2 linked regions of the Mus musculus genome follow. The protein of the gene in region 2 binds, or shares a complex with, the protein of the main gene of each other region. Links are inferred from orthologs where the notes say so. Each region holds a gene or a part of one and is shown on either strand. Other genes may lie near its edges. The genes, in order: Sptssa and Ormdl3.

The links.
Region 1: the proteins of Ormdl3 (region 2) and Sptssa are in contact, whole or in part, in a cryo-EM structure (PDB 7CQI), measured with the Homo sapiens proteins. The link is inferred for Mus musculus from reciprocal best matches to the Homo sapiens genes ORMDL3 and SPTSSA. Residues at the interface, in NP_001307730.1 of Homo sapiens: Val36, Leu38, Ser39, Ile40, Pro41, Phe42, Ser44; in NP_612145.2 of Homo sapiens: Ile44, Tyr50, Thr51, Val54, Phe55.

What each region holds. Positions count from the first base shown.
Region 1 is NC_000078.6:54,653,768-54,657,673, forward strand, and holds the start of Sptssa (serine palmitoyltransferase small subunit A), read right to left. Parts: upstream 2,806-3,906; 5' UTR 2,717-2,805; coding exon 2,605-2,716; intron 1-2,604. UniProt on the Homo sapiens protein: Component of the serine palmitoyltransferase multisubunit enzyme (SPT) that catalyzes the initial and rate-limiting step in sphingolipid biosynthesis by condensing L-serine and activated acyl-CoA (most commonly palmitoyl-CoA) to form long-chain bases.
Region 2 is NC_000077.6:98,580,546-98,584,303, forward strand, and holds the end of Ormdl3 (ORM1-like protein 3), read right to left. Parts: intron 3,596-3,758; 5' UTR 3,571-3,595; coding exon 3,397-3,570; intron 2,743-3,396; coding exon 2,591-2,742; intron 2,303-2,590; coding exon 2,167-2,302; 3' UTR 749-2,166; downstream 1-748. UniProt on the Homo sapiens protein: Plays an essential role in the homeostatic regulation of sphingolipid de novo biosynthesis by modulating the activity of the serine palmitoyltransferase (SPT) in response to ceramide levels.

The sequences.
Region 1 (3,906 bases), on a different chromosome or scaffold from region 2:
TGGGACACAGACCAGACCTTAGGCATTGTCTTCCTTATCTTACACAGGAGTACAGCTAGTAGGTAGTCTAACATTCTCTCTCTTTCTTTGTTTCTAGTTATTTATTTTATACATCTGAGTGCACTGTAGTTGTCTTCAGACACACCAGAAGAGGGCACCAGATCCCATTACAGTTGGTTGTGAGCCACCATGTGGTTGCTGGGAATTGAACTCAGGACCCCTGGGAGAGAGCAGTCAGTGCTCTTAACCCCTGAGCCATCTTACCAGCCCTGTATTCTAACATTCTCAATTCAAAGGTAGTGCAAAACAAACCAAAGCTTAGGAACTGGGAGCTGAGGAGACAATCTCCCAGGAAGCTAAGAGAGTTATTAAGACCATCAGAGATCTTTCCCTGGGCTACTAGGTCTTGCCATTCCCCGCCTCACTCTCTCTCCTCTTCCTCAATCTCATAACTGTACATTTCCCGGGGACACAAAGAACCTCTAACACAGCAAACAACGGCATAATAACTAACCTGGGTAATGTTTTCATTCAGATAACAGACATCTGGCACAGCACCAAGCCCTGTCTCCAAAAGGAAACAGTAATTCTATCAGCACCTTTGGTGGGGGTGGCTTGGTTTGGTTCTGTGTTTTCTGAGGAACAGGGTTTCATGAAGCCAACGCTGCCCTCAAACCTACATGTAGCTGAAGCTAGCCTTTAACTGCTGATGCTCCTGAAGCTACCTCCCCAAGTACTAGAATTACAGGCAAGCATGCACCACCACACCTAGCCATGCCCACAACTATTTGAACAGAAGAACAGAAAAAGGCACTTTTTCAAACAAAAATTCCCCCCCCCCCCTTGGAAACAGGGTTTCTCTGTGTAGCCTTGGTTGTCCTGGAACTCTTTCTGTAGACCAAGCTGTCCTCAAACTCAGAGATCGGTGTGCTTCTGCTGCCAGAGTGCTGGGTTTAGAGATGTGAGCCACTGCCATCTGGCCCCGGGTCAGTATTTCTATTACAATATAGCCAGAGAAATCTTAACACTGTTGCCACTGTAGCATTTATCCACATGCCAACAAATGTTTCAAAGCTTACAGGTCTAAACTGAGTTCTACTGTTACCCTAACCTAAAGAGTTTCACTTCACCCCAACACTGTTTCTTTGCCTGCCTGCCTGGCTTCCTTTTCCTTTGAGTTTTGCTATGTAACCCTGGCTTGCCTGGTAGTAGCTATGTATTATGTACCTCAGGCAGCCTTGAACTCCCAGCATTCCTCTTGAATCAGCTCTCTGAGCATGGTAATCAGTCATGAACCATCACAGCTGGCTTTCATTATTATTATTTAATGGGGCTTTGTCAACATTAATTGTAGTAAGATAATTATCAGTCAAGATTAACTGCTACCCAGCCTGGTCTACAGAATGAGTTCCAGGACATCCAGGGGTACACAGAGAAACCGTGTTTTGAATTAATTAATGAATTAATCAAAAGATTACCTGCTACTATTGAAAAGTTCCAATTAGGCATAAATTTAAATATAGATGTTATCTGACCTACAAAATCCAAAGAGCAAACTGAAGCTACAAATAAACGATTCGGAAAATCAGGCTTTCTTAATCCGGAGCCCCAAATATACATTCTGGTTATTAAACTTTAGGTTAGGAAATAATTGCTCACAGTAATAGTCTTGCAAGACGCTAAAATTTTTCAAGAGTCAGCTCCAAATAACCTCATGCTATTTCCACACCAGCACCCTTGAAAAAGCTTGCAAAGAAGCTCTACCTCAGTCCTAGGAACGCGTTTGTGAAGTTGTTCCTAACAAAGCTAAACCACAAGAAGCTGAGCGGATGAAATAAGCATGTGATGTGGTATATTCTTTTTATATTAAGGAAAGGAGAAGTGGAGCGTTAAAAGAATGAATTGCTAGTATTTCGTCGACACGGAAATCAGAGGATAGCGGCATAGACATTGGGCGAAAACAAACATCAGGCTTCACAACCTTGAGCTATTCGCTGGAGCTGTTAAAATTAGGCAAGATAACATACACACAAAGTGCTCAGCAAAGTCATCACTCAACAATTCTTAACCGGTGATAAACTAAACAACAAAGCACAGTTTGAAACCCCAGCAAAGTCTTTTCTGGGCACAGCTTGTACCTATGATGCAAAGAAGTCATAAATATAACACACTTTTAAAACTGCCATTTTGAAGCCCAAAAGGCCTTTCAGTAACTTACAAACTGCTTTCCAAAACTGTGTGGGAGTGTCAAGACCACGTACTCACAACCTGGTGAACTGGTTAGAGTTCTATCGCTCCAAATCAGGAATAGCTAAGGGTTAAAGACGCCCAAGCCCGGAGCGATTTGCAGCAACCCTGCCTCAAAGAATACTGAAGGATCAAAAGCAGGCGCGGCCGAAGCGGGACAAGGAAGCACCAGGGGAGACGTCGCCCTCCCGACTGCTTGCAGAAATCAGGATGCCTCCACCTTGGGCAGGGGAATTGCGTACAAGACCCGGATCTCCGCGGTTCCACCTCCCTTGACCCCAAGACACCCCCCCACCCCCTTCCAACCCGGCGCGCGCACCCCTCCACGCCCCAGCCAGGCCAGGACACACAGGATACTGAACACGGTTCGCTCCCAGGGCTCCAGCATGTAGAGCGCAGTGACCAGCAGGTACTGGTAGTAGAACCAGGACATCTGCTTCCATGCTCGCGCCAGCGCCATGCCCGCCATGCGCCTCCCGCGGTGTAGCAGCGTCAGGCGGGCCCGCGGCCCGCTCACCTCCTAAAGCCCCAGGCCTTGGGGCCCGCCCGCCACCACCCTGCGCCCATTGGTCCTGCCGAGCCTGCGCGTCACCGTGTACGCCCAACCCCGCGCGCACCCGAGCGGCCACCGCCGGCTCCTCCTGGCTTGCGCTTATTGGCCAAGCGGCCACTTCGTGTGCTCCTGTCCCGCCCCGCGCCTCGCCCGGAGCGAGCTCCCCAGCCCTGGGAAACGGTCTGGGTTTAAGTGCTAGTTCTGCATCTCCACGCGCACGCATGGCGGTTGCAAGACCGGCTTCAGTCCCCACTGGTGTCCATGCGAGATGGTGCCCTTAAGAGGCCGGATCCTTCAGACCAGCCCAGAAGGATTCCTTTAGAAACCAGTGTATGTAATCTCTCTCCTACCTCATGAATCCCTTCTGGGCCAAGAGATGATAGGGCTGGGTGAGAATGCTACTAAAGAGTCGGGCATGCAAATAAACAGTGCCTTGTGCAAGAGGGAATGCGGGGGTCAAAGAGAATGTGGATGCCAAATGACACCCAGCCAAGAAGATGTTGAAAACTGTAGAAGTAATATGTTCATCAGCTCTTCCCTTCCTCCGAGCACATGCGTGAAAACAGACCTATCTAGGATGCGCGCGCGAGTACACACACACACAACACACACACACACACACGCACTAGTATTCCCTAACCTAAAGACAAAAGAATTGGCCATAGACAGTTGCCAATATTTCTATGACTACACTTAGAAAACAACCATGTAGGTCACAATCAAGAGAAGTGCACTTGATCTAGTGGGTTCTAAAGACAGCTTGAGGTCAGCATGTGATCTGTCTCCTAAAGATTCACTCCTATGACCTGCAGCAGTACCGGCTGTATTCCACTCCTCTAAAGCCCATGCACTGTGTGCTTGTGAAATGACATAATTAAGTAGCCTGCAACTCACATGTCTAAAAGTTTCAAACCTGCTGCTTTAAGCTTTAAAACCTTTCCAGGTTGACAGGTATTAACTTAAATTCCTTATGCTCCTTACGAGCAAAGACCTTACAAACAACAATAGACTTGAGATCTGCTTTCACAAGGTGCCTAGTCATTTTATTTTATTTTATTTCGTCTTGTAGGTTACAGAACATCACGGAGGGAAGCCAAGCCAGGAAC
Region 2 (3,758 bases):
ACACCCAAGCCTGAGTTCCTGTGGGAGGAGGGGCAGTGTAGCCAGACTAGAATGAAGATCTCACTTTCCTTCGCTCCTGGCTCCAAGAACACCTTGACAACAGAGCCAGGGCCAGGCTGCTGGGAAGGGAGTCCTCCGCTTGCCTGGAACTTTGTACTGGCCAGGGAGCAGCAGATAGTACACAGGACAGCCCGAGAGGCCAGTGTCCTCGGGAGATAAAGGGAGTGTCCTCCCTCTCCTCGCTGTGCTAGCAAAAGCCACAATGAACCCTCCTCTCCTCCTAATCCTCAAAGCAGGAGGAAGCACAAAGGCCAACCCTCTCCAAAACAGGAACTGGCTGGAAATGACCAAGGTGAGAGAGAAAAGAGGATAGATTCACAGTGCCAGTAGGAAACCGGAGAACCAGAGGTAACCCCCACCCCACTCCACTTGTAAAGGTCTAGACTGGCCTTCCCGGCCACCACGCCCCATTCCAGATTCCCCCAGCCAGACCTATAAAGCCGGATGCTCAGAGCCAACCGAGGACAGCAGGACTCCACTCTGACTTACCAGGGTCCTCACCATCTTCCTCACATCGCCTTTGGCTCCTGGACCTGGAAAAAGGCAGCCGCCCCAGAGTCCCCACTACTGCCTAGGCAGGAGCTGCCGTTGCTCCCACTGCCGCCAGCTTTCCTCCCAGGGCCCACCCGCCAGGAAGCAGAGGCCAGACATGGTAAACAGAACATGTTGCTCTTTATTTGCATTTTTTCAGAATACTGTACAAAGGGAGTAAAAATCCTATTCACACTTTGCTTAGAAAGACCAGAAGGTGAAAGTTCCCTATGATACACTGGGTTCAGAATGAGGGGGAGGGGGACAAACAGGTGAGTGACCTCCCTCCAGCCCCTCCCTGGGAGAGGGCTTGGGTAGCCACGCGTTTCCAAAGGAACATGCCCCAGTCGACCCAGCGAGTGGAGAGACAGCTCCTCTCGGCCTAGCCTCAGGCTCCATGACCTGCCTCTCTTTGGGCTGAGGACAGTGCCTGCAGCTGCCCCTACTACTGCCTGGTTTGGGCAGAGATCCTGTAGCACTGTGGAGGCCACTGACCACATGTGGAGGTGGCCTCCTGACCATTCACATGCAAGCCACACAAGAGGCACTGCCCCAGCACAATCTACACAAGAATACGAATTGAACGCTTAAGGAAGAGCCTCTCAGAAAGCTTCCGCGCGCGCCCACACACACCACTAAGGGAAGTGTCGAAGTGAACCCGCTTCTGAGGACTCACAGGCCCTTCCAGCCTGTGCATATCCTCATTCCAACCCAGGAGTTCAAACCCACAGGGGCCTCCCTTCCTATCAGCATCGTTCTGTGGGTAAATTAACCCTCCACGCCAGCTCTCCTCCTAGCCCACATCTCAGAGGAGGCGGAGTCTGGCTTCTCCTTCCCAGACCTCTTTTTTTTTTACACTGATCCATATCGGCTGCAGTTATCTTGTCCATTCTAAGTAAGACCCAACTTACTATCCCCACCCAACCCTTGCTCAGAACTCCCCTCTCCCCAGGACCAAGGTGGCAGCATCCTGTCCCCACCTCTAGGTGTCCCATCAACCCATCTTCCTTTCCTAATCTCCCCTGCCCCACAGCCTACCCATCGTGGGTTGCCAGGAAGCCCACAAAGCCCGCCTGCTCCCTGCCTGGCGGCAGAGGCAGCACGGCGCAGGGTTCTAATACATACAGAACAGCGAGTCTCGCTTCACACACTGAAGGAATGAGGGCAACCAATGCAGAAGCTGTACCGTCCCTCTGCCCCCCTTTTTGGGGGCTAAAGTGCTATGGCTGCCTGAGGGTAAACAAGCCAACAGGGCCTTTTCCTGGCTTCCTGTCCCAATTTCTCAGGCCCACAGTCAGCCAGAGAGCCCAGCCTCTTTCCTGACCACCCCCATGGCATCTCTATTCAAAAGGCAAAAGGAAAAAGATCAAAAACTTCAGAATGGGTTAGAGCCCAAGGGCCCCACCCTAACCCCACTACAAGCTACTCCAAGTCGGCTACTGGGGAAGCGAGGGGGAAGCCAGGCCCAGGGCACACCCCCATCTCTGGCAGTGTCCAGAGGCTCCTGTCTTCAGCATCACAGCAAAGGCCTTCCACCCTTCCCCTGCCAACCCGGCTGGGGAAGGGGCTACAACCTCAGTACTTATTGATTCCAAAGATCCGGACTCCGTGGAGCTGGGGGAGCTTGGGAATGAGCACAGTCATCAAGGACACAGTGTTGAGTATGAAATGGACTTGGTCATACTTGGTGTAGAAGCTGGTGAGGAAGTACCTGGAGGGGAGGGAGGGAGGGAGGGAAGGAGGAAATATGGGTTCCCAGATAAGAAGTGGAGTGACAACTCTCTAGCTAGCAAGGCCCTCCTGACCTACCTTCCCCCCCAGCTTACTCCAGTGAGGAAAGACAGGGCCAGGGAGGCCAAAGGCCCCGTGTGAGACCCAAGAATATGTCTCTTCCCTCCCTCTGCTCATCCATACAGCAAGGGCCAAAGCTGGGAGGGTTTAGGGCCAGCTGAGCCCACCCGTTTACCTCTGCTTATTCTCCCATAGCCAGAGTACTCACAGCACTATAGGCGTGATGGTTAAGAACTTCCTAGAGGCTGTGAACTGGACCCCGTAGTCCATCTGCTCCCAGTGGGTCAGCAACCTTGCTTTGCCTTGGTCTGGAGTCTCGAAGGGCGTCCCTTTCACGGTGTGCAGAAAGATGTACATGCCCTGAAAAGAGGGGCCTTTGTCAGAACATACGAGATGGCTCCCAGCCTGGCTCCCCCACTTATCAGACAGCAGCAGCTCTGGGTGGACTGCCACCTGCTCTGCTGCAGTAACTCAGGAAGGCAGCCTTAACACAGGAGAGCGCACCAGAGCTTGGTGGGAGAACAAGGGGGGAAATAAGGAAGGAACGGACACAGCAAGGCAGCCTTTCCAGCCCAACTGGGGTCTCTACATGTTAGCTAAAAGGAGCAAACCAAGGAGGAAGGACTAGACCCCAGCCTGCTCAAAAGTGGGGTACAAAGCAGCAGGTTTTAGGGAGCACAGAGGATTATGAGATCCTAATATGGGAAAAGAATGTCTCTGCACAGATTCCTGGGACCTGGGGGCAGCCTCAGCATGGGCTCAGCTCCCAGTTTGCTGTCCTTCAAACACACCAGCCACCCAACTAGGGAGACATGGACGATGTGCAAATTTGATTCTAAAGCCCACAAGGGGGAGCCAGGTAAGAGTTGGGCCTGGGCTCTGGTGACAGATGTTGTCAGGACCTGCTGTCTGTCCCATTAGAAGCTCCTCCTATCTCTCAGCTCTGGCCTAGAACAGCCCGCACGGGGGGTGGGGGGGGGGTGGGGGGGTGGCTGGTGGTAAGCAGGATCTTACCAGGTTGTGGATAAGGTTGGTGAGGGTCCAGACGACAGGGACGCTCACAAAGGGAATGCTCAGCAGCACGACATGCAGGAGTCCGATGGCCAGCACGTAGGAGAGCCAGATGCCGCGACTGTTCATCACCCGTGTGTTGGGGTTCACCTCACTGTGTGCTGTGCCCACATTCATCCTGCCACCCCTCTTGACTGCCGCTCTGCAAAAGAGCAACACAGGTGAGACAAGTCACACCACTTTCCCTGCCCCTCACACCCCAAGCCCCAGAGAGGCAGGCTTTTCACTCCCTGAGAACTCCACACCACTGTCCACTGTTGGGAGTCTCAAGCCCAGAAGCTGGAGAAAGTCCATGTGAACGTGAC